4 linked regions of the Drosophila melanogaster genome follow. The protein of the gene in region 3 interacts with the protein of the main gene of each other region in a pairwise test. Each region holds a gene or a part of one and is shown on either strand. Other genes may lie near its edges. The genes, in order: CG1648, CG9570, CG17147 and nmd.

Evidence for each region.
Region 1: the proteins of CG17147 (region 3) and CG1648 interact in a two-hybrid assay, tested with the Drosophila melanogaster proteins (one large-scale study listed by BioGRID).
Region 2: the proteins of CG17147 (region 3) and CG9570 interact in a two-hybrid assay, tested with the Drosophila melanogaster proteins (one large-scale study listed by BioGRID).
Region 4: the proteins of CG17147 (region 3) and nmd interact in a two-hybrid assay, tested with the Drosophila melanogaster proteins (one large-scale study listed by BioGRID).

Annotation. Positions count from the first base shown.
Region 1 is NT_033778.4:9,809,381-9,817,607, reverse strand, and holds CG1648 (uncharacterized protein), read left to right. Parts: upstream 1-4,833; 5' UTR 4,834-4,859; coding exon 4,860-4,884; intron 4,885-4,943; coding exon 4,944-5,126; intron 5,127-5,639; coding exon 5,640-6,130; 3' UTR 6,131-6,289; downstream 6,290-8,227. Other genes in the region: lectin-46Ca, read right to left, coding at 1-4, 136-288; lectin-46Cb, read right to left, coding at 1,073-1,903, 1,956-2,093.
Region 2 is NC_004354.4:20,046,721-20,054,519, reverse strand, and holds CG9570 (uncharacterized protein), read right to left. Parts: upstream 3,227-7,799; 5' UTR 3,065-3,226; coding exon 2,432-3,064; 3' UTR 2,001-2,431; downstream 1-2,000.
Region 3 is NT_037436.4:20,217,863-20,225,937, forward strand, and holds CG17147 (uncharacterized protein), read left to right. Parts: upstream 1-6,069; 5' UTR 6,070-6,160; coding exon 6,161-6,167; intron 6,168-6,424; coding exon 6,425-7,431; 3' UTR 7,432-7,462; downstream 7,463-8,075. Other genes in the region: CG6933 (uncharacterized protein), read right to left, coding at 753-1,801, 2,199-2,241; CG17145 (uncharacterized protein), read left to right, coding at 3,990-3,996, 4,058-5,055.
Region 4 is NT_033779.5:10,299,646-10,308,386, forward strand, and holds nmd (no mitochondrial derivative), read right to left. Parts: upstream 4,303-8,741; 5' UTR 4,192-4,302; coding exon 4,010-4,191; intron 3,954-4,009; coding exon 3,026-3,953; 3' UTR 2,528-3,025; downstream 1-2,527. Other genes in the region: CG13138 (uncharacterized protein), read right to left, coding at 577-2,214, 2,299-2,310; CG5390 (uncharacterized protein), read right to left, coding at 4,517-5,124, 5,182-5,437, 5,504-5,860; CG4968 (uncharacterized protein), read left to right, coding at 7,400-7,474, 7,549-7,848, 7,913-8,326; Cdk5alpha (Cdk5 activator-like protein), read right to left, coding at 8,689-8,741.

The sequences.
Region 1 (8,227 bases), on a different chromosome or scaffold from region 3:
TGATCTGCCAATACATTTCAAGCGATATATAGTTATTTCGGGACTCTATGGATGGGCTTATTCGAATCTATGATAGCTTTATTGGTACTAAAATGGCTGGCCAAGTATATTACAAGTGATGGGATGCTCTCTCACCTTTTTGATGCCCACATAGAAGCACTTTCCGTTTAGCTCCCTGAGATACGGTTTGCCACAGGGACCCTTGTCCTTTTCCTTCTTGCTCTGCTTCTTTCCGCAGCCGGAATGGACCGTCATCAAGGTCAGAATCACAATTGGTAGGATCCTCATGGCTGCCAGCAAAACTGAGGCACCTGTCCGGTCAAACTGTAAGCATGCGTGCCGCCCCCTGTTCTATATATACCCTTTCGTGGGCGTGGCATCTGCATTATCGAGGAGTGACCAATTTCCATTAGGGAATCGTCGTGTATTGTTCGCACAGAATTTTTATCGACTGCTGCAGTCCATCAAATTGATTAATTCTAATTGGACATGGTGATGCCCAGGGGTTGGTGCATCTGTCGTTGGTTTCTCAATCGCCCACAGTATTGAAACTATGCTGGTACTTGTCAGACTTCCATCTGGGATGAAGAAGTTCCCGAATTCACTGACATCTTAAAAGGGTTCAGTAAATAAATTACTCAATTGCTATCCGATTAAGTGGTCAATAGGTGACCCTCCACTTAAAGTTCATCCCCATTATTTTGTATTTTTCAGAGATATAATTTCAATGCTCTGTATACTTATTACATGTAAAATTCGAATAATTACATATTCATCATCAGGATGAATTGAACAGAAACTAAACTTTCATATAAGAAACTATAAAGTATCTTTGCATGTCAATAATGCCATCTTTAAGAACTTATCTTATACACTGGCCCTTGATTTATTTGAAAGTTAGAAACTTGAACTTCGATTGAAATTTATTTAACTGCTCGTATATTTAATTTCATTCGTGTACCCAAGCCGACCTGCACTTGAATATATATTTTAAAATAACTTGTTATATTATTGCTGTCATTTATTTTTAATCGATAATAGTTGTGGGCTTCAGCTGGGCAAGTTGTGGAGATCAGGCTGCTGGCGGTGCCGGAGTCTCGGCTGCTGCGGCGGCGGGTGCTTCTGCTCCTGGCGCGGGAGTGGGTGCGGGCGTGGCTCCGTCGGCGGCAGGAGTGGCGGCACCTTCGGCAGCTGGAGCTGCTCCGGCGGGTGCGGCTCCTTCTGCTGCTGGAGAAACAGCTTCAGCTCCGGCGGCAGGGGTGGCAGTTGCGCCCGGCTCACCAGTTCCGCCAACGGTATTTGTTTCTTCCGCTCCCGGTGTCACCGAGACGCCATTCTGACCAGGTTGATCGTCATCGGGCACGTCGAGCGCCCCGACTGCATCCTCCGAGTCCGGCTCCGGGTGCTCCACTGAGCCACTGGCAATGGGGTCCTGGCGGTCGTGGTCGCCATCGCCATCGCCATCGTCCTCTCCTTCGGCACTTCCGCCAATGTCGTGGTGGAAGTGATGCAAGTGCTCGTGACTGTGGTGCTTCGGCTTCTTGCCACTATCCGTGCCCTGGCAGTAGCGTTCCGAGCAGATGAAGTATTGCCGCTCGTGGCAGTTGTCTGCCGACACCATGTTGATCTCGGAGCGGATCCTCACCTCCAGGCAGTCGTCGCACTCGGAGTGCTCCAGTGGCAGGACGTTGCTATAGTTGCTGTAGTAGCGCACCAACCGACCGTTGCTGATGTACTGGAAGCGACCCTCGTGGTACAGATCGTTGCCCCCGAACCAGAAATCCTCCGTGTTGCCCAGGCCACTCAGGAACCCAATGGCTCCGTCGAAGTCCCTTTGGTTACTCAAGTCCGCCAGGGTCAGTCCTTTGCGTAGGCAGTTGTTCAGGGCGCCAAACCAGTTCATCTGAATGGGTTTCATATTATTTCATAAGCCCATGCGACAGATCAACTCTTACCTTTTTCACCGAAAAGTAGTAGCACTTGCCGTTGATCCTGCGCAAATAGCGACGCGGGCAGGGGGGTCCTGATCCCAGGAGCTCGCCCCGCGGCAGGATGCTCAGCAGGGCCACGAGTGCAGTCAGGAGATGCTTCATTTCGCTCGCTTCCGCCGGTGCACAGTGAGCCGGCTCAAATCGCCTCCTGTACTTATATCCTCCGCTGGCCAGCAGTGCGCCCAATCGATTTGGAGCTCGCTGGAGCTGGAGCGGCATCTTCGGCAGCATGGCCAATTCAATTACAAGTCCATGCCGCCGGAATGCCTACGCCAATGTCGTGGGCTAATTTGCTCACCCGCCAGTGGGTCAGGTTTAGGGTCATTCAGTTTAATTGGCTATTAGATACACTCGAAGAAAACGAGCCGGAAAAGTCGCATGGGGTGCTGTAATTGCCAGTAATGTTAACCCTCTAAATTCCTTGATGGCAATTCATCCGCCTAATAATGGGCATATTGCGAGTAACTATTATATCATATATAGATGTTATAAAATTGTAATACAAGTTTAATGCAAATAAATTAAAAGATTATATATATGGTTTTGAAATAAGCAATAATTCTTAGCAGTATTCTAACTCATTCGAAGGTAGCAGAGCTTTCTTCTTCTGGAGTATGATGATGATAGATGGATATAAAATGCTTCAGTTCCTTTGACCCTGATCTGTCCTCCCATTTAGTTTGTATCTGCCGAAGTGAGTTAATTGCTGGCTATGAACTCGCTGGTAATCTTCAACAGCTCAAAAACGCTAAGAATATTAAGTTCTGTGATTCGAGCAACTGGAGTGACTTCATAGTCATTAGCATAACCCGCCCGAAGGGCTAGATGTCTGACCCGGCCTTGTTCTTTCCGATTATTGATTTACCTGGCAGGGTCGTGACATCAGCCATTGGATTGTCCGTGGCCAGGACACGAATCGCCCGCCTTTCCTTCTGTTGCCAGCTGACTCAGACGACCTTCGGTCGGATGACGATTGCGCCGGGTGGCCACAACAATTCGTGGGGCGTGTGAGTACCACGCCACCCCTTTCTGCCACGCGCGCTACTCTCACATATATAATTCTTTCGTATATTGTATCTCGATTGTGCAGTTGTATCTCACATGACATCATCAGCAATGGCAACAACAACGGCGGCCCCAGTAGCTCCATCGATTCATCACGGATTGTAGCTCTTTTTTTTAAGGCATCCAGAACTGGTGTGGAACGTGAGTCGGCAGACCTCAAATCGCAGTAACTCATAGATATTCGTTCCATGCCCGTATGTGTGTCCGTTCCGAGCTGGGTTCCCATGTAGCCCAAGCTACAGCTACAGCTACAGGTTTTCCTCTATCCGAGGCTTCTGCGCATTATTTCAGCTGCGAGTGCGACATCGACGAAAACAAAATCAGAGAGCAAAATCAAAATCCAAAACTAAAACCAAACCAAAACCAAAACAAAAACGACGCCAGAGGCTGTGAGAGAATCTGGGCTTATTGTGTTACCTTTTGGCCATGCTTCTAGCCGGTTTTCAGTGTTGACCACAAGTTGCCACAGTTTTGAATAAAGACTGAAGAACAAAATGCGTCGTATTACGCAAATGCCTTAAATAGGGCCGCTGGCCTTAGGAATTCCGCGTGTGTAAGCCATTAAGATATATATGTACATATATCCAAAGGATTTGGCGGGGAATATTAAACACTGCGGTTGCCTTATACGTAAGGCCACCTTTTTTAAGTTTAATAACTTATCATTCTACGAATGTATTTTAAGTATCTTTAAATACGATTTTAATTTGGAAAACAGCACAATATACTTAGCATGCATCTCTATACATATAGTTACATATTGTACAGTGTAGATTGCACGATTCCTTCCACTTAAATTGCTATTCTAGATTCTAGATTGTTAAGCAAGTCCAATGCCACATACATACATTCCTTAGCCATTAGCCATTAGCATTTGAAATGTCTGAATTCCCTTTGATTCACCCTGTTTTTTTTGAGCAGTAAAAGTAATTTTCAACACCTCGGCCGAGCCCACACATTCCATAATCTCGATACCCAGCAAGCGTAGAATAGAAACTATTATTTTCGCACAATTTTCGGCTCCTGCGGTGGCGATTGGCTCATTAAATGCGAAATGCGAAATGCGAAATTGGCCGAAACTAAATTATTTGGAAATGAGCCGAGTGTATGGGGCCATTAAAGTATCTCTGCGGAGAGAACCGAATCAGAATAAACACATTCCCGATCACAATCAGAAAGCGTGAATAGACCGCACTAGAAACTTGGGGGCGATTTCATTCGCCGGCTGCCCATTATGACATCACATACGCCGAATAATTTGAATACTCGAGCTTTGTTTGCCTCATTCGCATACAAGCATACTGTATATTACAAAGAAATTCCTCGGCTATTTCCGCCCGTTTCCGTTTCGCCCAACCGATTCGCACCCGGTTCCGAGTTGAGCGGCACAATGTTTCTATTTGAGTGGACGCACACGTCACTCCCAGTGAATGCAGATTCGAGGGGACAGCAAAAGCTGGCGCTCGTTAATTTCTATTAAATTGCGAATATAAGTCTCAAGTCTCGAATTTTAAGGCTGACGCCATGGGGCTGGCGATCACGATTTCAACAGCCCCTAGTTGCGCAGTTTCTATTAATAGGAAAGTGTCCCAGTCTAATCGATCCGATTTAGTCATGTAAATAGTTCATGCTCCAGCTGCTTTGTTTATGTTTCGGCAATTACCTGTCTGGAATTTGGAATCTGAAATCTCAAATCTCGCATCTTCGATCTGATCGGCGCTCCACCCTGCTGATTGCAATCAGGCTATAAATTATAATTAGCGCCAGGCCAGAGCTTAGTTAGCATTCAGAGGGCCAGTCAGCATGTTTCCTAGTCGCCAAAACCAAAGTAATCCCATCCAGCCAGCACAGTCAGGATCTAAAATGCACTCCTCATTCAATCCCCAGCTTCCTTGAAGAACTTCGGTGACAAGACCGCCAACCTCTTCAGCAAGAAGAAGGATGAGGCCGAGAAGCTGGCCAACGAGAAGGCTGCCGAGGCCCAGAAGCTAGCCGAGGAGCAGGCCAAGAAGGTGGGCCAGTCCGTACAGCAGACCAAGGGCGAGGCCGAGCAGTTGGCCGCCAGCACGGGTGAGTAACGAACATCCAAAAAATAATGAATGTAACACATAAAAGATGTCTTAGAGAATTAATTGGAGTTATTAATTCTAAAGACTTCCAAAAACTCTTGCAACGAAGAATTGAATGAGTCCCGTTTGAGATAACTTTCAAAATCAACTTTCAGTTCTTGCTAAAAATGTTTTCTCATTAGCATTCCATTTCCAATTTATCTAAAACGCAAATCTTTTAAGCATATCAAACACAAGAGAACTTAATAAATGGAATTCTTTAGTGACGCGTTGACGTAAAACATGTTTCCAAGAATAAGATTCGCATTTTTGAAAACATTTCTTCATAAATATTGAAATATTTCTATAATTGTGAAAAGCAATTTAATGTGCTAGAGATTTATAACTAAACAGAACATCAATGCTATGTTTTATGCTGGAGCAAAGCCCGACCAATTCAATAAATATCTTTAGGAGCACTTTTAAAGATATTTTGTAAGAATTTTTCCCACTAATATCTCTCTTTATCATACAGCCAAGGAAGCCGCTGCTCTGGCCACCGCGGAGGCTCAGAAGGCTGGACAGGCGATTGACCAGGGTGTGAACCGTGCCGCCGGAGCCGTCAACCAAGGCAAGCAGGCGGTGGACAACACGGTGGCCCAGGCGGCGGCCGTGGCCCAGAACTCCAAGCAGGTGGCGGCCAATGTGGCGGAGGCCTCCCAGCGAGCGGCCGCCAATGCGGTGGACCAGACCAAGAAGGCGGCCAACGACGCCATCAACAAGAGCGTGAAGGCCGCCGAGAACGTGGCGGACCAGAAGCTGAAGCAGGCGGAGGGCGCCATCGATGGGGCACTGAAGCAGACCAGTCAAACGGTGGACCAGAAGCTGCAGGAGGCCAACCAGTATGTCGACCAGAAGCGCCAGTCCGTCGAGAAGACCGTCCAGGATGCGGCCGGACAGGCCCAGGAGTCTGCCGGACAGCAGGCCAACGCCCTGTTGGGCAAGCTGCATCTGGGTCAGAAGTAGAGGCGTCTCCCTTCGCGGTGCCACCTAAAATATCTTGATGTGAAAATGCTTTAGATACAAAAACAAAAAAAATAGAAAGGAATTTGCTTCAATGTAACGAGTGCCAGTAATGTGATTGCTAAATCCTCAATTGAATATACACAATATATATATATATATATATTTACATATTTTTTGAATATCGCGCGGACGGATTATTTTGCAGCCGCTGCTTTCGATGTGAGCATTTCAGCACATCCTCTGTCCGTATCCGTACAAAGTGTAATTAACCCCTTCGTTCTTCTTCTTCGGCCGAATTTTGTTACTTTGAGGCATTTGATATTTTATATACAGCTGCGCTGAGTATGCTTTTAATATACGTATATTCTGTTTATGTAGAGATGTATGATTAAGTACCTTTAACTCTTGCACAACACATTGCAAATGTGTTTTTAATATATTGGATTCGAATGAGATTTGTGGTCTTTCAATTGGTGGGGGTGCCACTAAGCAAAGCGTATTATATGTATATATTTGGATATACTGATGTTATGTTGATTATATTATTACTGAAACTTTTATTAACTCATTTTCAATTTAGCGCCAAATGGTGATGTATGGTAATACTGTAATCTGGCCACACTGAATTTACTTCGGCTGCAAGCGCAAATAGCGCCACCTACATGTGGGATAGAACGCTGAATGGTTTGAAAACAGGGTATCCATGTTTTATCTCGCTTTTACCGTTTCATTCAAAAAAATTAAATTACTTTTTAATGAAGTTTTCAAACTACAAGTTTACTTGATGTATTTATTTGGGCTTACTATTTAATTACTGACTTATCTTGGCCATTGGTTGTTCAGAAAATAATATTATTTCTGGACATATTTTGAGCATATAATTACAGCTATATACAATTTCTTTAATAAAACCAATAAATCAGTTATAAATTCTACACATTCCACTGTTCACCCAAAAGTGGTAACATTTTATTTTGCTTCTAAGACAAAAGAAGTTTTTTCCGGCTTACCCTTTCCCCTTCCTCCAGAGCTGCCTGTCTCATTACAGAACCTTTTCACAGATCCAAGGTGAGCAGCAGGGGAAACTTTCGCAGAAAAGCGGACCATGGAGATGGACGGATCTATACAAATAGACCGAAACATGCAGAAATCTGCTAATAGAAGAGGTCATATTGTGTACTCCGATATGTCGGGCAACTTTTCGTCGAACAGAAGCCGAAAGTTGTGTTAGGTTTTAATTATGGGAAAAGTTTGTTGTGGCTAACAAGTGACCCCGGTGCATTGCAACGTCAATTGAACGCACAACTTCAAAGGACCAAAGGACGAAAGGACCAAAGGACGAAAGGACGCTAGGAATGTGTGCAAAGTATTGGCAGCAAAGTGCTGACATAAATTCAGGTAAGAGCGATTTTTAATTTCAGATAAGTGCGCCTGCTGACTGGAAAGGCGAATGATAAATGCATTCCATTTGCGATTCAAGTACTAGTGGGTGCGAGGCGCCAAATTCAAATTTATGCCGGCCACGCAAAAGTCGCGCCAATTAGGTTAGCCCAAGCGAGTTGATTTAAAGTTAAGCGATACGAGCGGCGCGATTAATTACAATAACTGTTTATCAACACATATTAATCATGGTTTAACATGCTCCCAGCTCGTGTTGACCCAAGCAAAATGGCGTGCAGCGGAGTTCCGGTCATGTTGGGTATGCCCACTCCATACCCTCCATGGGCTTCCTTTAATTTTCAAAGTTTAGAGGGCGACATAAAGTGAATATATTTGGTGAGCGTAATATCGTTTTTAATATATTATGACCTTATTTGTTGGTATTGCCATGCGTTTTTGAAACACTCACGTCTCTCCCAGCAGCTTGATGCCCTTTTGATTGACCCTTTGGTAATTCATGAGTGCTCAAACAGATGCTTATCCGCTTTTTAAGCCGTGACCAATTCCACTTATGAGCATATTTTACACGCAGCCAGCGGCGTTAATTTTATCTGAAAAGTTAAATGTGCGCGTGTGTGGGCAATTAGGCGAGGAGTATTATCGGCCCTGAAACTAAAACTGCGCGAGAGGAGAAGTTCCCAGCGACAGCCACTGATT
Region 2 (7,799 bases), on a different chromosome or scaffold from region 3:
TTGGAAGAGCAGCCGGTTCTTTGTCGCCAGCAGTCACGATATATATATGTATGTATATATATTTACCTTATGTACATCTATATATGTACATATATAGTATGCTAGGAAACTGGGCCTCTTTGAAGGAAGTGGCACAACTATCGTGCATCCATCGCATTAATTTCAAGGAGGGATCGCGATTTTCTGGGATGGTGCGTGCGTGCCGATAGCGAACTAAGTGCAAGTGGCGTTCGCTAATTGTTGGCCATGTTTTTCTGCTGACAATTCGCTTTCGGCCAAATAATTCATGCAAAACTCCCGAAATTGTCACGCAACCCAGTTCACAATGCGGCGATGATGATGAGACGCTGTTAATTAATTAATTATCCCCCGCCGCTCGACGGGGCAGCGGTTTTGTGATTTATGATAAGAACACTTTGCCCCATTCCGCTGCCCCCCCCCCCCCCCCTCTCCACTGCCACCAGTTTCCTGTGCGCATTTTGCGATTTGGTGAAAATGATTTCCTCCTGGCTTCCAACACGCGAAAGTGACATTTTTATTGTTGGCGTTTTGCATGTCGAGGGGATGCCTGGATGTCCTTAGAGAACTGGTTGGGTGTCTCGGGTGGGTGTGGCTTGGGCGCTGGCTGTACCATCATTAGGCCAACTCATTTTTGTCCTGCGCAGCGTGGGACGCGTGCATCATGTTGCAAACAGCCAGATGGGCCAGATGGGCCACTCTTCGCTGGCGAAAAAGCAGCGAGAAAGGACGCAGGACCTTAAGGTGGCCCATGTTGACGATGCTAATTAGCCTCCGCTCCGCCATTGTCCTCGGCATCAGCTGGCTATGCCACGAGTGGGCCGAAGGACACTCCCGTCCTTCGTCCTCCAAAGTGGCATACAGACAAACAAACCAACAGGCAGTCGCCAAAGGCAAAAGTTTTCGTGGACAAATGATCTGCGGAGTGCTTTTACCTCCTATGATAATAGTCAACCCCAGTTTCAAAGGGACTTGGAGGATTTCACCCGAAAATGATTTAATTTTCGGCACTGCAAATTGGCATTTGCCTGCTTAAAGTATATAGAATTTAATGTGTAATTAGCAAGGCCTAGGGCAAACTGTTCTATTTTCTTTCTGAAGGGAATTATCTTTAAGCTGATAAACGCAAGACTCAATTGGATCGCTTTGTACGTGTTTAATTGTCATCTTTTGAGATATGACTTCGATTTACTACGCCCTCGCATGATTCCCGCAAGGATTCCCGATGTGACAATCTCCATTCGCATCTTTGGGCACTCAATAACCGGCCAGTCAGCAGTTGTTCCCCCCAGATTCCTGCCTGTCAGTTGTCCCATTTTCGATTCCATCAGATTTTGTGTATTCGGAGCAGCCAACGGTGGTATTATCATCAATTCCAGTGTCTGGCAAAGGTTCCACCGCACCTGCACCCCGCCCACAGTCCGCCCACTGTCCGCCCACAGCATCCCTTGGATTTCTTTCATCCGAGAGTTGGTCGTCCTTAAAATATTTTCGGAGCAATGTTTCCATAAATACACAACACAGGATCACAGAATGGGAAAAGTGGCTATAGCACTGGGAGCGGGAGTGGAAGTGGAAGTGGGAGGCCGTCAAGGGAACGAGGGACTCAAAAACAGGCACGCACCAAAATTCGGCACGCTTTGGGTGTATGAGTGCTCGGTATCTTTGTATGAGTGTGCCTGTGTTGGTGGCCATAAGCAACATAAGCAACAGCGAAGGAAGAATAAACAAAAGCTCTGCTCGGCCATTGTTTGCTTAGGAATACACACACACACACACACACACAGCGAACACACACACACTCTGCGGCACGCACACAGCAAAAAAAAAAAAAAAACCATAATTCCGTGAACCACAGTGCGTATACGCAATACGGGCAGCAGCGTTAAAATCGCGTTGCCAGAAATTGTATGAATGATAAAAGCCAAAAATTGGCCTTCGAGTGAAACGAAATGAAATTAGACAACATTTCTGATGACTTTCTGCTCTGTTTGGGTCTAAAATTGCCCGGGATTGTATTTTTGGCATTTTGGCATTCGTATTGGTTTTGGGAAGTTGAGAGCAAGCCTAGCACGGGGAGCAAGGCAAAACCAGGACGAATGGGCCAGTCGAGCCGACAATTTGTCAATTGACGCGCATCCAGGCGCTGGCAGCTCCTTCCGCCCGACTGCCTCTCAATGCCAGGACACCAAGTCAATTTTCATAGACATTTTACTGCAGTCCATCATTTCGCCCCGTTCCCCATTCCCAGTATCCTTTGGCACGGTCTTTTAGAGCCTTTCGAGTCCATCTGGCTGGAATAAATACATTTGCTTCGTCTGGTCTGGTCCCGGCATGATCGTTCGTCTAATTGAGGCCGCTTTGCGAAGTCTTTTTGTCTGCAGCCCAAGTTGCAGGAGGCGACGACAAGGGGTTAGCAATCAGTGGTGGTGGCCAGCAGCTTTAGATGATTCTCCGGCAGCTGCACTTCATCAGGATTTTGTGACTCCTCTGGCTCTGGAGCAGGCTGCTCAATCTTCTCCAGATCGTGATCCTGCTTCTGTTTCTCCTCCCGCTGGCACAGGACCGCCTTCATCCGGATGTCCTTGACATCCTTCGACACCCTCTCTGCTTTAGTTGTCTCCGTGGCCTCGAAGGCGTTTATCCAGAGCATGGCTGCCAGCGTGGTCATCAGACCACCCATGATGGCCCACTCCCAGCGCTGGTAGACTTCGGTGGAGACGCCCAGATAGCGGCGCAGCACGAACTGGGTGGACAGGTGGAGGATGTGCTCCACGCTGCACCAGAGCCACAGGGCCAGGACCTCCATGAAGGCCACGCCCAACACCAGTTCGATCAGGAAGGTGGTCAGCCAGCCCATCCGGCTACGATAGCGCGTGGGCAGGATCTCCAGGTCGTGCAGGAAGTATAGGATGGCGCAGTAGGCAATGTGGCCGGCGTAGATGGTGCCGGGAATTACCGGGAAACGCTCTATGTCCAGCAGACAACTGCCACGCATTCGGAAGTGCAGAACGCTGGCAATCAGGAGTACCAATGTGCAGGTCATCGTGGCGATTGGTTATGCTGGGTGTATTGGGCACTTTTAATTTTTCAACTTTCCTCGATTTATTTTACGATTTTGTAAAATTAAAAATTTTGTAACAGGCCGAAAGAGGGATGTGTGTGTGTGTGCTAGCTTCAACGAATCGTTGTGATTTGCTTATGTAAGGTTGGTTGCCCGGGCTTTGAAGTTTCGAGCACTTTGGCGCGGAGTACGTGATCGAAGGAAAAACATTTCGTAACGAGGCAAAAACTGGTAACGAATGCGCCTGCCTAAGCATGCGACGGGATAACGGAAGAATTCGTTACTACTTCACTTTTACAACGCTCTTTATTTTCTTTACAAATCTTGCTATCATCTCACATTTCGCACTACATTTCCATTAGTATATACCTGTATATACCTGTTTCGACTCAATTCAAAATGACCACGGTTGGAAAAGTTGATAAGCTACCGGCTATTAATCGCAATATTCATGGCGAATCTTAATCTTTATGTCAATGCTGGCATAATTATTTTTCTCGTTTTTCAATTGCCTCGGCGAGGATTTACCATGCTATGTGAAAATGCGGAAAAGAGGATACTCCCACCTGCAGACGGGGCTAATTCCGGGCTTAGCCATATTTCCAATTAATTGTAATTCGCTCTGGCGCAGACAATTTCCATGCATTTAGCAGTGCGCCAGGTCATTAGGTGACCCCCAGTTCTTCGCTGGTAGACCGCCACGCTCCGCCCCCCTAATCCCTTGTCACGCCCATTTATGTTCATAAATTATGCAGTCAACCTCTGATGCTCATTGACCCAGAGGAAAGGCCACCCCCAGTAGCCCCACCTTTCGCAGTGGGGCAGCTGTCGAAATGTTATTTCTTTCCTTATTTCTGCCTCATTTTTTTTGTGCTGGCAAAAGCGGGCGGGGAAAACCGTTTGATCCCTTCCGGCTTAGCTGGGACTAAAAGTAGAGAACGACGAAAATAAAATTAAAAAAAGCAGACTGACAGCGGGTGGGTTAATCGGAAGTAGGACTGAGGGGTTGGTGCTCATTGGACAACTCAGCGCCAGAGACAACTTTAAATTTATTACCAGCCAGTCCCAAAATTATGTATTTCCCATTAATGTGTCTTCTTTTTCGGACATAAACGCTAGATACTCCTTCGATCTTGGCTCTTGGTTTCGTGCCATCGTTTTGGGTAGAGCAATATTTTGCATTGGGAGTTGGCTTTGATTAAAAAGATGGATACCATCCCCAGTCGATTGGGATTTTTTGTTTTCCGTTTTTGGGCAGCTTGACTTGCTGCCAGCCAGTCCATTGAAAGTTTGGTTTTCTGGTTTCTGGTTTGATTCCCGCAGTCCCGCCAACGAAGCACGTACAATGGACTCGGGGAAATGGGAAAACTGGGAAAAACTGGGTAAATGGGGAATTGGGAAAATGGTGATATGGTGAAATGGGGACATGGGGACATGGGGACATGGGGCATGGGAAAGTGCCATCCCCTAAGAACGCACACTATTTGCTTATGCAGATTTCGACCAACATTTCGCATTTGTTTTCAAACGGCAAACAGCAGCAGAAAGTGAAATGTGAAATGTTGCAACAAAAGGGGTCACCAGATTTTTCTGATATCATATGATATATGAGATATGGGCCCTTTTGTCTCTGCCACTTCCACTTGCCACTTGCCACTCGCCGCTTTGGCATACATATATTTATGTTAAATTCATGATATTTAAATTAGTTAGCCAACAGTTTGTCCTTGGTCCCTCGTCGGGCACCCTGACCTTTGCCCCTTGGGGTTTGCCGGCCGCACAAAAGGCCACCCGGCTGCAGTGGCCAAACATTCAATTATGAGGCCTCCAGCCTTCAAGTTTCTGTGTGTCTGACTTTGACTTTGGCTCTGGATTTCCAGCTTCAGCTTTTGGCCTAAGCTCATCTGCCATTAGCATTTCAAATGCCACGCATGGGATAGTAGTGTGGGGATATGGTTGTTGGGGGGACATCAAACTTTTGCCATTTGCCTGCGAGCGGCAAACGACAAAAAGCAACGCAAGCTGGCTAAAGTTTGCCATCATATATCTTGTCAGTGTGCGATGCATACGTTATCGGCGGCGCCCTTCTTTCGTTCTAGCAGAACCCCTCACCCCTACCACTACCACTACCACCCGCACCACCCACCTTTCATTTGCCGCACTGGTCAAGTAAATGAGTTTTCCTGCGGCTTTTCCACATTTGTTTTTGCGTGCCTTGCCATTTGACAGATCAAAGACCGACTAATACACGAGCAAACAACAAACAAACTCGCACAGATCGGATGCCGCACCGGAAATGGATATTTAATTAAAGTTCTCGGCTTTGTCACATCGCCTCTTCTTTGCCTGCCATTCGAGTTTCCCCGATAGAAAATTGAAATCGCCTAATGTTAAAACGATGGCCACACAAAGGTGAGCAAACAATTCCTTGGACTCGTATCACATGTCGCTCGAAATCAATGGATCTACGACCACAATATACTTTCTAAGGAATTATATAAAACATAAAAATCTACCATTGTGCTCTCAGTTTAAAAATAAACATTCTTTTGGCCTGCTGTGCTAACTAAGCGATCTAAATATGTATGTATGTATTAAACTGGGAAATTCGATGCCATTGAAAAGCGAAGCGCTATTATATCGTTCTATTACTTATAGGAATACTTGTGTTACTACTAAGTAAGCAACGCACATTTTCTGTCAGTGTAGCCAAATGGAGTTTAGGGGGCTAGGCGACGGAAGTGGCGCACGGAGAAGCAAGTTGTTCCAGAGACAAACTTTATGACTTTTATCTGAGCTCAAGTTTTGAGTCAACCTAAGAAGTCGAAGCGTCGAAGCTCCAGCCCCCTTCAAAAAATAAATTTCCTTTGCCAGCCATTAAAAGTGGGGCCACCCACCAATTCTCATCAGCTGAGTTCTCAAACTGCCTCACGGCCAAATGCATAAATATTTTCACTGTCAGTGCGCCACGCCTACTTTTTACCGCCCCCGTGTCCGCATCCTGTTTCTCACACCGCAAAAAAAAAAAAGAACTGTTGTCGTCGCATTGTAATAAATGAAATTTCATGGCTTGAGTTTTCGTTTATTGCAACTATTTTGGCTTAAGTAAATAAGCTGCTTACATTTTTTCCATATGCACATTCATGTTGTGCCCTTTCACGGGCACTACTTTTGTTCGAGTGTAGCAGCCGCTTAAAAAACTTAAACACGGGCATTTTCATATACATTTATTTCGGAGGCTGTCCACGTTGGCGGTCCATGGAGGAATATAGTATATATAGGATGTATAGGATGTAGGCGTGGTACTGAATTTGCATATTCACAGAAAAGCAGGGCGACGCAACGCAAAAGTGTCATAAAAATTCTACATTTCAATGAAACGAAGTCGAAAAACAACAACAATAGGGCGGCTATGGTATGGGGAAAAGTCTGGACAGCCAAATATAAGGGCAATAAAAATGTTATATGCCGGCAAAAGTCGGACCAGAGATACCGAACGATGTCCGGCAGGAGTTTTAGAAATATGCAAAGTGTTTCAGGACGAACAGAAACCGGAATCTCTGTATCGGTCTTTAGGAACACATATTTTTATTGATCATTTCGTGAAGCTATCGAAATTACTCAGAATACCATTCAATCGGAGTGTCACAGTCTTACAAATACATTAAAAAATTTGGCGAACTGTGATTTATTGTGTTATTGAGTTGCATTTTTTGCTGTTATTAAAAGCTTTAGAAATAATTTCCTAAAAATTTCGACAGCGAACTGTGAGTGCGTTCTCAGCCGATGAGTCGAAAAAAACATTTCCATAATTGCGTGCAATTGGAGCCAATTAATGGGAAACGAAAAAAGTGCGCTAGTCACGCCAATATTTTCGCACCGAATTATGTGGCATCCATTGTTGTTGAGGACCATGGGACATCGCAGAGTTCATGTTTATTTGCGAAATGGAAATCCGCGATATATAAGCATCCGGTCCGTTTCCCGTGTTTTGTTTAATCAGTTTTGCAGCGCATTCTAGTCGGTCTTTTGGGTGTTTTGGGATGTTGGGGGTGTTGAATGCTGGATACTCGCTGCCTTTCGCCGGATTTTTGCATAATGAAATTGGAATACGGCGCACAAAGTGAGCTGCGATGCCGACATCATCGAGTTACAAATTCGTTTACGTTCACGTTCCCTTCCCTTTATCACTCGCCGCCAATGGCGGGGCGGAAAATGCAGGAAAATGCGAGGAGGAAAAAAAAGTAGGAAAAGGCACAACACAGTTGTGGCGCGGAAATGTTCTACGTTTTTCTCACTTCTTTTTTTTCGCCTCTCTTTGGCTCTCGGCCCTTTGTTTTTCGTGGCAGATTGCGTCAGATATTAAATTTATTTACGCGAAATTCGCACGTCGAGCGCTCTCATATTGCCCATCCACAAAGCGCAAAACACACAGTACACAACCCACAACAGTACACATCACACAGGGTATACAGTACACACAGTGTGTTGCATACAATACGCCTGTATTGGCGTCCCAATTGCTCGCCAGCGGTGGGCGTTGGCGGTGGGGGCGTGACAGCAGCAGCAGCAGCAGCCTGTGATACCCTAGACAAACACAGAATGGTTGTTTTCGAAAATTTATCCAGTGACAGTCGCATGATTTAGCGGCAAAGTTCGTCTGCCTTCAAAGGTCCTGTTGCGAGAAGTATTCTCTTCCCGAAATTTCCTGCAAAAC
Region 3 (8,075 bases):
TCAGGATGATTTTATCGTCCATTTTGGATTATTAATCCCACTTCTGAGATTTTAGCCGCCGTTTACAGAAGTTAATATTCTAATACAATTTCACGTGTCTCTTTTATTTTTGATCTGTCCTTTAGCTTGGTTCAACAGCGACTGACTGCCGCGCTCTCTGCAGAGTGGCGAGTCGATTAGTCGATAAGTTTCTCGATAATATTTGTATGTTAAGGATGGGTGTATGAGTGTATAAGCTTATGACTAGATTGGCTATGTATAATTAGGTATGTATGACTAAGAGTAAAGGAAGAGGGTAGAAGGAGCAGCCTACTACAATACTAGGCTTTGAAGTACTGAATTCAAAACAATATCTCAATGCTGACGTCAATCAAGTAACTTCTCCAGAAATTTCCCAAGCAATGGGGTTTTACTGTTCCACCTTCTTCTAATACAATAGATGGAGGCCATTGAATTTTTTTAATTAATTATTTAATTAACTTAGCTTGGCAGATAACATTTACAAATACCCATCCCGCAGAAATTATATTTATATTTTGAGGCACATTTTCTGTGAGCCTCTTTTTGAAAGATTTGCTACCAAAAAGGCGAACAACTAATCAACAATTTCAAAAACAACAACATTTAAAACAAATTTCGCTTGGTCGAAGTCAACATTTTTATTAGTTTCTTTTGAATGCCTTCAGCATTGGTATTTATTTATATATTTCATAAAAGGTATCTCGGCAAACAGACGTGGCTGGAGGAGATGCTCATGTACTAGCCGTCGAATTACAAATGGCGTAATCGGGAATTTTGGTGGTGCAGATATTGTTCACCTCGTCGTAGTACGGCGCATTGGTGGGACATGATCCGGTTATTCCGCTGGAGCAGATTGTGTAGTTCTTGCAACCCTCATCTGCCATGAATGGATTGTTAACGTTCCCACATCGGTTATGGGTACAGACAAAGGAGGCTGGCGAAACGCACTTGCCAGCATTGAATTGGGTACCGGTGGGACATTGGTTCCAATAGCCAGTGGCGTTTACTGCTGCACAGTAGTAGTACCCATAGCAGGTGACACCATCAGAAACGTACCTATAGTCAACAGATTCCCCATTTACAGTAAGTGGATCTGCTGCTTTAAAAGCTTCTTCGTCACAAGCAGTTGCATTTGTTTGCCCAACAGTGAACTGGTCAGAGTTTCCACTGTTTGAATCTTCGCCGGTGCACGGATTCGTCGACTGGCAGTTGCCAGTGGCTTTATTATAGTAGGGATTGGCGGTGCTGGAACATTTTTCGGAAGTGCCATAGCCGTTGACGCAGTTGATGTAGTTGCCGCACTGGTTCGGATCGCCTACAAAGATGTTGGACAACATGAACCGACAGATGGTGTCCTGCGGGCAGGCGGGTCCCCATATACATTTTGTGGAGGATGCCGAATAGACGCCGCCGGTGCCGCAATCGCCATAGGAGATTTGGCCTGTGCCATCGCAGTAGGCGTATTCGGTGCAGTTCAACGGATTGGCCACATACATGGGAGATTTGACGTTGGAGCATGTCTCAACGGCACTGGTGGAGCACACCGTGGTATTAGCGTAATCACAGCTGCCGGCCTGCGCGTTGAACACCAAGCCGTTGGGACAGGTGCCCCAGGCCACAACCTCCTGGTTCTTGCAGTATCCCCAGGCATGGCAGTTGCTCGGATTGCCGATGTATCCATAGCCCGACCACTGTTGGCACAGATCATCCATCGTGTAGCCGGTGGCCTGCGATGCCATTAGGAGACATGCGGCCACGACACAGATCCTCATATTGATTGCTAAATGGGGGATACAGGGGGATACGAACTATGAATTATTAAATAAAATATAGACATGTGTAATCGTCGAATAGTTTTCTATTTTGTTTGTACTTAATAATGCAAAGAAATTATGCTAGAAACGACAAAATTGATAGCTTTCAATCCAAAATTCGTGTTAGCGTCTCTAAAATTGGTTAAGCCTTTGTTGTAGCCAACACGGCAGCCCTTTTTTTGGATAAAAAATCAATTAAGGACGAAAGAAAAACTCAATTTGAGTAACAAATCGAAATTTGAAAGTCATTTTAGCCATTTTTGAAAGTCATCTCCTTTGCAGGAGAATTTCAGGGCCTTAAAACCATGTTTGAAACCACTTTTCAAAATTTAGTCGAAGCAAGACGTCTTGAATACTGTGCACCTGAGATAACTGTATCCGTTCTTCGAGCCAACGTACCTCCCATCTTGGAATGCTAATATTTTTCGGGGACAAATTCACTTGATAGACAGACGACCGAAGCGAACGTTCCGATTTCGTTACTAACTCAATCAATTGCAGCCTTTGCGTTTTTATAGTTGACAATTCGCGGCGCGAACTGGGTGGGTAATTAAAAAATTGTCAGCCAGATAAGCCAGCCGCCAGTAGGGCGTTAGTATCGAAATTAATGCTAGATAAGATTCTAAGGTCTGGGGTAAACCACGCACCTTGCATCCCTCCGAAGTTGTTGGGTTAGCTTGAAGGCGGTTCGAAGGCGTTGGACGACGAAAGTGAAACTAGCGGACCCGGCCAAAATGGACTGGCTTATAAGCTCAAATCGATTCTTGGCCAGCGGACACCATACATACTTAGTTTAGTATGTATATATAGTTTATATATATTTTTATACGTTGACAGCCGCGCCGGAATTTGGATTATCAGCTGCTGATTGCGAACCCTCTTTGTCTATAATTGTTTTTTAATTTCGAAGAAGCTCGAGGAGGCGGGAAAGTGTCACGGCTCTTATTGATCACTCAGTGGTGTTTCCCTGGTATCTCGGCACTCATTTCAGCAACACGACATTAGTTAGATATCTCAATTTGAATCGCACTGCGACTCTTGACTTGACTTGACTAGACTTTCCTCTGAAGGTTATCAGGTTCTGGGGAAAAATTACCGAACTACAAATGTTTATATTAATAACTTGTCCAAAAGAACCGTTTGAACTGAAATACAAAATAAATAAATCGCACTATGAAATTATGAAATTATGAGTTATATATATTTATTTATTTGTATGCATAATTAAATAGTACAATTATATGCAAGTATTTTGAAATTTTATTATCTATCTATATAATCTATAAAAATAATTGATGTTAATGTTTAATAACAAAAACCCCATTTTTTTAGTCAGTTTTATTTTCCGTTAAACTATTTTAAATCTATCCGCCTTATTTTATTGTTTCGCCTAAAAGCGAGTTTTGTCCGTTTAGAAATTCGCCCATAAGTATGCAATGACATTTAAACACTTTACTCGATACTTTTTCCAAATCACAAGGCATTTTCGAAGTAATTTAAATTCTTAAAAAATAGTTCAAGCTACGTGCTTATTTACTTTTTATATTTAATTGGTAGAGTACTAAAAATGTTTTTTTTTTTATAATAAAGAAGGGAAGCTCTCTATTAACCCACTAAGCCTTATGAATTAAACCAGCTGATCTTGCTCTTCATTTTATTACTATTTTTTGGCCGAAATGATAACTTATCTACTTCCTATTTAATTTACCGGTAGCCAATTGGCAATCTCCAACTTGTTTATAAAATCACCATTCACTACGACTAGAAATCACCCAGTACTTTAGCAACGAAAAATATAATTAATTTTTTCTGAAGTAAAATTTTATGAATGCTCCTTAAAAACATTAAATTTATAAATACAATTTTATCAAACATTCCCATTTTTTGTGCTCTATCATTTACCTTTTCAAAAATATTATATAGCAAATCCCTAAGCAAAATCAATACATTTGATTGTAATCTTCGAGCTTTTAACAAATGACTTCTATTCATCTTTATTTAACCCATCTTACCCAGTTGAATACCCCTCAAAAACCAATCCGCTTATCTTGCCAGCAAATAGTGATTGCTGCTTATCCTCTGATATTTATAAGTAATCGCAGGTCGACGTTCAGATTCAGTACGAGTTTATGCTTTGTCCAAAGTTGAGCTGTAATGGAAAGTGAGTGGATTGCAAACTGCCAGTGGTGTAAATCTAACTTTATTGTTTTTTCAAATTGCAGAATTTGGTGCCATACTGGGCGTGGCACTGGTGCTACTGCTTCAAGGCCTAGATGTGGTTAATGGCCGGAATGAGGACATCTGCCGCTTGTTCTCCAATAATACGGTGATCCGAGATCCCGAATCCTGCAGTCAATCGATCACGTGCATCGATTCCGTCAGCTACTACAGTACATGCACGGGATCTACTCCGTTTTTCGACAAGGACACGGGCAAATGCGTTAAGTCACTGTCCACTTCCACGTCCAGCTGCTCGATATCCTGCGCGGATCGGGCCAAGCAATTCGTGGCCGACCCCAAGTCCTGCTACGGCTACTATTACTGTGCGGACGAGGAGACGGCCTTGTACGGCACCTGTCCGCAGGAGACGCACTTCAATGCCACCACCCAGATGTGCTCCCGCCAACACGAATCGGATTGCACCACCAGCACCTTCGAGTACTGCAGCATTGTTAAGAACGGCGTAAACTTCGACAATCTGCAGGGCTGCAATATGTATCACGTCTGTGAGAAGGGCGTCCTGAAGGACAAGACATGCTCGAAAACCTATTATCAGGCCAGCACGGGCGAGTGTGTGTCCAAGGCTCTGGTGGACTGCGATGCCCATCCGTTGCCCACGGATGTCTGCGGCAAGGCCAGTAAGCCCTACGAGAACAAGTTCGTCGCGGATGAAGCCACCTGTCGCGGCTACTTCTACTGCGCCAAGCAGAAGGATGGCACCCCGGACCCCAATCCGGTGTGGAACCAGTGTCCCCAGGACAGATTCTTCGATGCGAGCAGCCAGATGTGCATAACCCCCAGTTCGGTCTATTGCTCCCACGATCGTTGCGACGGTCGGACTGCTAGTTTTGTCGTTAGTGCCACCAAGGGCTGTCGCAACTATCTGAGCTGCTCCGACGGGGTAACCGTGAGCGAGAGGTCCTGCGGCAACTACTTCTTCGACGACCAGCAGGGCGCCTGCACTCCAAGTGTCCAGACCTACACCGCGTGCAAGACGTAGGCATGTATTTCCAATAAAGCTCAGAATGCAATGTGATATTTGGTTAAGGAAGTGTTGTAATGAAGTGCACTAGTTTGGATTCTTTCGGGGACTGTGGAACCTGGATTGTCATAGATATAGATACGCGGCTCTCTAGCGAGTTCGTGTTTATGCACAATGACAAGTTTCTGCTGTAAGCCAGTATCTTTGCTGTAACTCGAGGATCGTAGTTGAGATATATTGTTTTTTTACCCGTTTTTATAAGAACGTAGATTGTTTTCGTTGCTCTAATGCTTAAGATTAGCTACCAAAAAGAACAATAATCTTAAACAAGTTCTAGTTCGAAATTCGAATAAATAATATCTGATGGGTGAGTGAAGAACACCTGTATTTTGTTTAATATTCCTGGAACAATTCAGCTGAAAACTAGGTAAATGAACAAATAGAATTTTAAGAATTCACTCAATCATGGAAACTTTTCTTGCAGGTGGTAACGATGGAATAGCATGGCCTCACCGAGGAGACCATAAATGATAATCACTGTCCTATTCGTTGGTTACAATCAATGTTTTCAAAAGTTCTGATTTTCCAAACAAAAACCTATCGAAAGCGACAGTGAAATAGCAAGGCAGTATATTTTAAAAGGTTGTCATATTTACGGCACAATAACTGCTGACCGTTTAATCGCATCAGCGATAAATATATTTATAGTTCAATTAATTAACGGCCAACAGAAGGTTCATTTGACTCGTAACTACCGTGGGTATACCTCATTAACTAGTGGCACTTTCCTTTTCGACTGAAGTTGCCAAAATTTACTATGAAAGTGAGTCGTTAAGGAATCTGCAGTCAGCTGTCTCGATTTCAATCGATTTCAATCACCAATTACGACCTACTTGAAGGGTTTTACCTCCTTTCGCACAACATTGATAAGATTTGCTCATAAGAGAGGCAATAAAGCGCTGGTATCAGCAGAAGCAGTGGCAACGATAATGACTCCTAGTTAATATAAGATTCTTCCATTCACGAAACTCCATTTAGTCGCGCGTAATTGGTTCCCGAGGCCACATCAAACCACTCGATCTATTCTGTTGCAAATTAAACCAAAGTTTCCCAGCAATCAGCCATGCTAAGTGAGTTTTATGAACCCATTAATTTACCGTCATAGATATTTACTTATACACCCTGATTCAGCCTTTATTTTTAGTGAAAAGTAACAGCTTGCATGCGTTTTTAAAGATACAATTAAAATGTAGAATCTAGATATTTTGTTCATTCATATTCATTTTTATAGGTATATCTTTAAAGGTTTTTAAGCATATCTATATGTTTTTCAAAAGGTGTGCTGTATCAATCTAATATCTCGCGATCATATGTATATCATTCGTAGACCTCAAACTTGGAGTGCTTCTCGGATGCGTTCTCTTGTTGGCTACCGTAGCTCTTTCGGCGAGTGTCGGTGAATACGAGGAGCTGTGTCGCCTTTTCAAGAACGGGACCAAGGTTCGCAAGCCCGGCACCTGCGACCAGTACATTCAGTGCTACGATGGCAACGGCACCGTCCTGACCTGCCCCTCCAACCAGTCCTTCAATCCCAGCAAGGGTAGTTGCGTGGACACGTTGGCCAACAGCAACAAGTACTGCGGCAATCGCTGCGAGGGATTGGATGGCGAATGGGTGGCCGATCCGACCGAGTGCCACAAGTACTTCTACTGCATGAACGGCGTACCGCTGGCGGGGATGTGTCCCGTAGGCCAGCACTTCGATGAGCGCTCTCAGTCCTGCCTGTACGGCGTGGACTCCATGTGCGTGGATGTGAACAACATTTGCGAGCTGGTGGCGGAAAATACGAAGTTCCGGAATGAGAAGGACTGCGCCTACTACTATGAGTGTGACAAGACCGGTAACCATGCGTCCAAGAGCTGCACTGTCACCTCCAAGAAGCGCGAGTATTTCGATGTGGAGAGCGGCAATTGCGTGGAAGCCAATAAGGTGGAGTGCACCGCCCATTCGAAGGAGAACGTCTGCACCAGCAGCACAACAATGACATTCAAATCCGACCAAGCCACCTGCCGTGGATACTTCGTATGCAAGGCCCTCTATCCCGTCGCCGACCTGGATCCACTGTGGACGCAGTGCCCCGAGGGCTACTTCTTCGACGAGGATCGGCAGCTCTGCGCCAATCCCACCACAGTGGTGTGCACCCACAACAGATGCGACGGACGCGGCACGATGCTGGTGACCAGCAGCAGCAATAACTGTCACAACTACATCCGGTGTGTGGACAACAAGGAGGTGACGGAGGAAACCTGCCACTGGGATCACTTCTTCGACGAGACAGTGGAAGCGTGCTCCTCCAAGATCATCTACGATAAGTGTTGCGATGGCCGGGACTAAACAAAAAATAAATTTAACTAAAAGTGCAAAGAAAAAGAGGTAGTTGATTTTTATTGGCGATCAATATATCCGTTAAAAGCAAAGACACTAGAAAGGTACACAGGTTAAAAGGGTATACTAGATTCGTTGAGAAGTATGTAACAAGCAGAGGGAAGCGTTTTCGACCATATGGAGTATATATTCTTGATCAGGATCAATATTCCACAAACCACCCAAAACTGTCACGACCACACTTTCGAACAATTTTTAAATTATGGTTTGGTTTTTAATTTCTACTAATATTCAAAAATATCGGGGACTTCGACTATAGCATTTTTTTTTGTTTTTATTTTGTTTTCAAAACAATTATATTTACGATTTGGCTTGAAATTTCAGTTTTTTTGGGTACAATACAAACATATACTATGTGCTTTATGAGCAATCCATTAATAGCACACATTTAAAATTCAGGTAATTGCCCGTATGGTACGCATTAAAATTAGACAACACATTTCTAATCTTTCTAAATTTAGAAATCAATTAGTTTTATCGTTCTGTTGATCAGTTACCAAAATGTAGAACAACATCCACATGAAAATACCAAGATTAATAGTACCGTCTTGTTAACTGTTTCTATTTGTTTATCTACAAAACGTAGTTGAGTT
Region 4 (8,741 bases), on a different chromosome or scaffold from region 3:
ATCGCGACTACATTGGTTTAATAATATTGCTGTTCGCTGAAATACCAAATGACCAATTAAGTTTTTAGCGCAACCCTGTTTGAGTTTTAATACAAACACACATAAATTGAACTAACAAATAAAAAGGTGTTTATATCCTGGATTTTTGTTTAGTATTTATAAAATTTGTGTCTTTTAGAATGCGATTGGAATGAATTCTGGATATCGTTATCGATTTTACCGCAATCGACAATTGTTGGGGGTAATCTTGAACCAAAAAAATACAATACAGTCAAAAAAACAAAGTAATAACGGTTTAAAAACGGTTTTATTATATAGAATATGTAACAGTATATTGCGATTTGTTTGTCGTTGCTTGTTAGGCTTAGTATGTTTTATTGCTTATGAATTTTATCATAAACTTTTAACAACAACAAAATAAACAATTTTATATATTCTAATATGCATTATATTTTATATTAAGCAACTTATTTTTTAGCATTTTTTTTATTGTGGGGAAAAAGTCTTTTAAAAGTCTGTCAGGTATATAATAATTCTCTGAATAGGATTATTTACGCTAAACATTTGATTAGATTATCACTTTTGAGCACCTTCTGCTGAAGCGGATTGGATTGGCAGTTCCACATGTATAGGACTTTGAAAGGCCATTGGTTGGAGTTGTACAAACTGAAATGGTATGGAGAATGGCATACCGCGATAGGCATTAGCCGATTCCTGTGGACTTAGGTCTACGTTGGAGCTATTGACAAAGTCTGGAGCAGAGTTGGCGGTCTCCAAATCCTTTCCCGTGATATTGAAAGGAGTAGGGGGACCGACGAGTTTCAGGGAAACCCCATCCCGTCCAGGAGAAGTCGATTCAATGCTAGTTTTGGGTACGTATTCCTGGTTATACTGCGAATCAAAACTACTTTTTGTTACGTAATCGTGCTTAAATTGAGGATCAATACTACTTTTCGTCACGTAATCGTGCTTAAATTGAGGATCAATACTACTTTTCGTCACGTAATCGTGCTTAAATTGAGGATCAATACTACTTTTCGTCACGTACTCGTTTTTAAACTGCTGATCGAGATTAGTTTTCGTTGCGTAATCGTGCTTTAACTGTGTGGGCACGGAGCTTTGATAGTCCTCCATCCTCGGAGGATGATCCAATTCCCTAGATTTGTATATCCTGTTGTAGTAGTTTGAGGATGGTAGGCTGGATGGTTCGTGTTCTCTGGGCGGTGGATGATCCATTTCCATGTTAAATTTGAACTCCTCGCCGCGTGGATAACTTTCGTAGAGTGATGATGACTCGAACTTATATGGCTCGCTGGAACGAATGTAAACGGGAACCTTTCGTTCTACCTCAACCTTATAGGGCACTGGTACCTTCTTCTCGAGATGAACTGGCACCTTTATTTCGACCGGATACGGAACAGTCCGGAGCACTGGATACGGTTTCGGTACGTGGACTATTTTCTCAATTATCTTTTCGACCACATATGGTTTGGGCACTTGGACTGGCTTTGGGATGTGAATCACCTTTTCCACTATCTTTTCGATAGGCACGTGCACTATTTTCTCAACTGTAACATTCACCAGCTTGGGCACATGTACGATCTTCTCGACAATTTTCTCAATGGGCACATGGACGACCTTTTCCACGGGATACGGTTGTGGTACTGTTTTGATCAGCTCCTTTATGTGGTTGTGATGATGGTGGTGATGATGATGCTTGATTTTCACCTTCATCCGCTTCGCATCCTTCTTACTCGAGTGCTCGACATGTTCGTGCAGAATCGCTTGTGTTCCGACCTGTTCGGATGCCTGGTATTGACCATCGTCCTCATCGATATGCTCGTGGATCTCTTCGAATGTATGATAATGCCTACTTTCCGTACTCTCATCCGCATAATTGGGACTCACATTTTTTCTTCGAGCACCAGATGGCTTATATTTCAGTTTATTCCTCGTCATTTTATCGCCTTGCTTTTGATAGTTTTTCACACCGCGTTTCAAAGTCACATTGCGTTCGGTTTCCCGATTATAATGTTGCAGATCCAGCTTTTCCGATCTTCTTCCGGTATTGTGAGTAGATCCTTTTCCGTATTCAGGATAGCTCCACTCGGCACTTTCGACACTATTGGTTTTATTCACAGCATAGGAATTACTGTGTGCAGTACTTCCAATAATTATTAAGGTTATGAATAGGTATCCAGGAATCAAAGTTAACTGAAATAGAAAGGATGCGCGTAAATGAAGTATGTACATACAAAATATCTCCTATCAAAAAGACAAATTGGAAATATAGCTTACCATTGGGTTCATTTTTTGTTAAGTATATAGTCTCGCTTGGATTTGAAGTGGTTTAATCAACGCCTTCAACAGAAATGATTTGAGCCAATCGAAGAAAGTATTTATATGAGCACGAAACATAATTAAAATGTGCAGAAGCAAATTTCTTCGCTTGAAGTTTGTACACTCTATATTTTTCTTAAATTAAGAAATTATACAAAAACATCAAGAACTAATTTGTTTTGGTTTGATTATTTAAAATGTATGCATGTTTTTATTCATTTTTAATTAGATATACAAATGTGTAGCTTTGAAATGCCGTCAGAAATAAACGACCTTTTTAAAAGAGAATAAAACTGCACAAGTTTACTTATATTTTTTTTTACGATTGAAAGCCCACGGTCGCGTGACGCAAGTTGTGTGTGTGTTTGAAGAAGTGTACAAGTGCAATATCTTTATAAATGTTTGAAATTTCTCTAGGTGAATATTTCACAGAAGCCCGTAAATGTAATAATTAAAGTGCATTGAGCTCCGCTTTACGGAAATGCTATGGATTGTGTAATTTCCTGCAGTATCCGTTGCTGTTTTCAAGACTACCAAAACTACGTTTTCCGGATACCCATTTTGGAATGCAGAGAACAGGGTTAATTAACACATAACATTGGAGCTCCTCTCGAAAGGCAAATAAAAAGTTTATTATACAAATTTAAGTTGGATATATCGGGAGCTTGAATAAACAATGGTCAGCTTAATCTAATTCGATTCTATTCTCTAAGAATAGGCTGCTCGTGTGCATCTTTGATTCCTTAATTTTTAAGTGCGAGCCCAGCAAATCGTCCATGGTGATGCGGACGTTGTTGCGATCAAGCGCTGTAGCTGACGGATCTCTGGACGTGATGAGCTGCCTCATTCGGTAAACTGAAGCATTCCGGCACATTTCCCGCAGGTCTGAGCCCGAGAAGCCATTTGTGAGCTTGGACAAGCGATTCAAGTCGACATCCTGACTTACTTCCTCCGATTGGAGGATCAGCTTCAGGATGTCTTTTCGTTGGGTCTCCGAGGGCAGACCAATGTGGAATTGGGCTGGCATGCGGCGCACAATGGCCTTGTCTAAATCCTGCGGCCTGTTCGTGGCACCCATCACAATCACCGTCGAGTTGGCGTTCGTGCTGAGGCCATCCCACAGCATCATAAACTGGGTCTTCATCATGGCGGTAGCCTCGTGGTCGTTCATGTTTCGAGATCGCAAAAATGAGTCTATTTCGTCAATAAAAATAATGCATGGCTCGATTCGCGATGCAAGCGAGAAGACAGCAGAAGTCAATTTCTGGGATTCCCCGTACCACTTGTCGGTAAGAATGGCGACGTCCAAGTTGATAAAGCGCATTCCCGCCTCTTTTGCCGTCGCCTTCGCTATCAGCGTCTTTCCACAGCCCGGTGGTCCATGGAGCAGGACGCCTTTGGGCGCCTGCCACAGCTTCGAATGCTTGAAGAGATCCTTGTGCTGGATTGGCAGCACCACCGATTCCCGGAGCTCCTGAATGACTGAATCCAGACCGGCGATATCGGCCCAACTGACTGTTATGTCGGCGGGAACAACAAGATGTGACGCAATCATAAGCTCGTAGTCGCTAAACTCTTGCCCTCTTAGCTTGAAGCCCTCCTGCTCGGCTAGCCTGCATGGAAAAGGTTTACACATGTACAATATATGCTATATGAGTCTAATATAAACCTCTTAAGCTGCTCCTCAGCCAGAACTTTGGCCTTTTTCTTGTTTTTACTGGTCGGATCCATCTGGTTCATCATCCATTTCACCGAATAATATGTGATCAGCGAGGCCACAGACAGGCGAACCAGTACCTGGAATATCTGCCCCTTGCTTAGATCCGATCCGCCCAGTCCGAAGTTGTCCATGTTTCTGCAGATATTCTATTTAGAGCAAATACGTTGGCCTGCACGAATCTAATCTTTCTTGTTCTTATTCCCCATGCACACCGACGACAGTGTGACCAGGTGCTCCGACTGAAATTGACATCGATAAGCTCAAAATTGCTGCCAACTGAATTCAATTTTTGTTAGCCTATTCCTTTTCCACTGTTCCGAAAATATTTTTTCAGCTTAAAATAAAAAGATTTTTTTTTTTTTTAATTTTGAGTATTAACATATTGGGCATATATTAAGTGAGAGCATTGTGAAGCATGAAGATTAAAACCCACAAATTCAAGTGACAATTTTGCTCTTAGGGTGTATAGTGCCTGGGGTCAATACTCCAAATCTTCAACTTGGCGTCGATCCACGGACGAAGCTTGGCCACGCTGGCGTACACTCCGGGAATGTTCACCTCGCCGCATCCGATGCCCCAGGCAACAATGCCGGCGGACTTGAAGCGGTTCTTCTGGCCAGCAATTGGACACACCAGTGGGGAGCCACCATCACCCTTGCAGGTGTCCTTGTCCTTCTCACCGCCGGCGCAAATGAAGCTGTCGTGCAGAATGAAATGCCTGCCGAGTCGAGTTTCGCGCAGATTCGTCTCGCACTGCTGCTCGGGCACCACGGGCATGTCGACCTTCTTCAGGATAACCTGATATTCCCCATCCTTGCCGAACTTGTTCTTGCCCCAGCCGGTGGCATAGCAGCGATCGAAATCGAATTTATCACCCACATTGGGCAGGCAAACGGTCTGAATGTTCTCCTGGAGGGTGAATGGACTTTCCAACAGCATGACAGCCACATCGTTATAGAGCGATCCCTTGTTGAACTGCTCATGGTAGATTATTTCCTTGACATATCGGTCTTCGTGCCTTCTGATCTCAGTCTGCGTTTGCGTATCCCATTCGCCAGCTCTCACTAAATGCCAGTTCATAATTAGATCTCATAGATGGCATAGATGGCATGTACACTTACCAACAATGCTACTGGGCTGTTTGTTGTGAACGCAATGCGCCGCGGTCAGAACCACATTGGGAGCTATCAATGCTCCTCCACATTCGTACAGGTTAAGGTTGCCTTCTTCCCGGAGAATGGCCAGCATCCAGGGGAATTCGCCGAATTCGGCCTCCTGGTTGACAGCTCCAGTGATCTTAAAGCCAACGCCGTTGGGATTTTGGTAACCGCAGCCCTCGGGATGATCAGGCTTAAACTCGAAAATCGGATCTTTTCTCTTAACAAATAAAATTATAGTTTAATTTAAGTAATCAAAGCTTATTGGTATTTATGTATGTGTTACCTTGTTGGGCAGATCACAGCAAAGATCCAAATAGTTCTTGCATTCGGCGTCCGTACCAAGTCGAATGTCAATGATACCATCGCCACTGGTGTTAATCGTATCATTGGCGCACAACCAGCGAGGAACACACTCCTTTTGATCGCCACAGGACTGGTACTGCGTTGAACTCGATCCTCCGTTTTCGGATCCCGTGCTACCGGACGAATCCTTGGGGTTCACCACTGGCGGGGGAGGGGATGATGGTTTGGGTGTTTCGTCCGTTTTAAAGATGTCCGATATCAATTTGTCCAAGGAAGAGTCCTGGGCACCACAGGAAAATATGCACAGGCATATTACTAGGCAATTTAGTAATATCATATTCCTGGAAAGCAAAATTAAATCATGCTCTTTACATATTTACATAATTAAGGTCAGAAAGCTCACTTATTCGAGGAAAGAGATGAAGATGAAGGTAAGCAAAGTGAGTAAAGCTCGAGTATTGGTAATATAATAATGATTGTTATTGCTGGAATATCGCACTTAAACCGGATAAAAGGTGAATGTGATTCCCCCAAAACAGAGTGACACATTTTAATGGAAGGGAGACGCGGATACGAATACGTTTATGTTTATGCGGCGAACAATTAACCTAATTAACTCTAGAATGTATTGTCTTATCAGTGAGGCTTTGCTTTCTTTTTTGAATACTAAAATTCCGAGCAAATATATACATATGTACGTATTGTTTCTTTTAGATCGCCTCATTATCAATCCTGATTGCTTTTTTGTTTAAATATGACTTTTGGCGATAAGAAATGCTAATGTATTGCGGTGGGTCAATTTTCGCTGTCAATAAAAACAAAGCATGTATAATTACTTTAAAACACAAAAATAGTTTCTTATGTGTAAGCGCAATCCCTCCATTTTTCGCAAGAGTTAATAATAAGTTATAACACACTAATTAATTGCCATTTACACACAAAGGTTCACCATTTTTGCTAACAATATGTTCCTTGCAAATAAAATAGGGCAAAAACTGGTTTTAGTTTCGAGTAAACTTAGCATTATACAATTCTTCTTCATTAACATATATAAATGTATTCCCATTGCCGCTGATTTGTGCTCATAAAAGTACGTGAGGCGGTGATATTTTGTACACTTTATTCATTGAACTTTAAGATCTTTTTGATTGATTAAAATATGTATATACACATGTACATACATATATGGATGAAAAATGTATTGTAGATGTTACAAGACATAGAAACCACCAAAAAGATTAAACTCTATCAGATATCCACATAACTGAACTACACATTTTCAATAAATTGAATTTGAGTCCAATTTTATTTAGTATAAAGTGTACTCTATTAGTAAGACTTACTTAATTTATCAAAGTAGCGCAACGTTCGCTGAGCAATGAAGAAAACACTCAACTGAATTGATTTCTTATTCAATCTTAAGTCTCAGCCGATGATCTTCTGACGAGAAGCTTTGAAAGCTGGTTCCAATTGAAGTTCCCAGCTTACGTATTACACAGCGGAAAACCAGTTCAAAGTTTTATTTTATTTTATAAATTTATAGATAATAAACATACACAAATTATGTACGTATATTTGTTATTAAAAACCGTTTTAATGGTTTAGCGTGTTTGTAAAATGCGATTTCAAATATTTATTTATTTTTATTCTCGAGCCAAGGAACAACTGGAATTGAAGCCCGATAACGATAGCTGTGCGACAAAATCGAAAGCATCAGTGTGTCCGTGAGTTTCGCCTCTAGACCTGTGTGTGTGACATTTGATGCGCCTACACATACATATGATGAACAGGAATTCTTTTTAGTTCATCAAATGAATACAAAGTAAAGTAAATTGAAAGGAAGCGCCGATCGCAGTTGTTCAGTATTCAGAGAAACATGGAGCCGTTTACCCATAATGATGGCAATCGCGACGAACTAATAATTCAGCAGAAACGGGATATTGAAAAAGAGGTGAGTCTGCAGAAACACTTACACACAATAGCGACAATGAACCGAGAAATAATGCCGAATTTCAATAATTGCAGATCAGCGACACAACTCCCTTGGTCAGCGAGCAGTTGCCACTCACCTGCTTGTATGCGGAATACAGTGGCGACGAGATCTTCACCGCCAAGATCCAGGATCTGTCCAAAAAGTACAAGTTCATTCGCCGCACCCGCCCCGATGGCAATTGTTTCTTCCGAGCCTTCGCCTACTCCTACTTGGAGTACTTGATCTCAAACACCAGTGCCTACCAGGAGTTCAAAAAACTGGCCGAGGAGTCCAAGGAGAAGCTCGTTCAGCTGGGATTTCCTAGTTTTACATTGGAGGACTTTCACGAAACGGTATGTTTAGCCGTACAAATGCAAAACGAATTCCCTATGCTTATGCAGCCTTTTGTATGTCCAGTTCATGGAAGTCATCCAGCGCGTTAGCCCCGACAATGCAGGAGGACACAGCACGGTCCAAGATGAGTTGCACAAGATCTTCAATGAGCAGGGTTACTCAGACTACGTGGTGGTTTACCTACGTTTGATCACCTCGGGAAAACTGCAGGAGGAGGCCGATTTTTACCAAAATTTCATCGAAGGCGACCTCACCATTGAGGCGTTCCGCCATCTGGAAGTGGAGCCGATGTACAAGGAATCGGATCACATCCACATAATCGCTCTATGCACCGCCCTCGGCGCTGGAGTTCGTGTCGAGTACTTGGACCGTGGCGAAGGTGGGACTGTGAAGGCCCACGATTTCCCCGAGGGAAGCGAGCCCCGAATTTACCTGATATATCGACCAGGCCACTACGATATACTGTATCCAAATTGAATTGCTCTCAGTAGTTTCTAGATTACGAAACGATTTATGTATATAAGATGTATAATAAACTACCATTTATTTGCATATATGGTGAATATTTTCCTTCTCTTTTGGTTCTGCATAAGATTGAGATTGATTGATTAGCCCAGCAATGGAAACACAGATTTTACACATATCGTAGATGTTAATTTATTTAAACACTAATCTTTATTATTTGATTTGAACGATTGTGATAGTGACATAATGAAATTGTCTAATGTTTTATAAAATATTAAGTTTTATTAACGGTACTTCGCCATCATTTCATCCGGAAATTTCTGGCGATGCGCAGACAATGAGAGGTTGACAATAATCTCCCGGTCGTCCATCCGTCAGGCGCCTCCACAGTATGATTTAATTGTAGGATGATATTGACCACAAGATT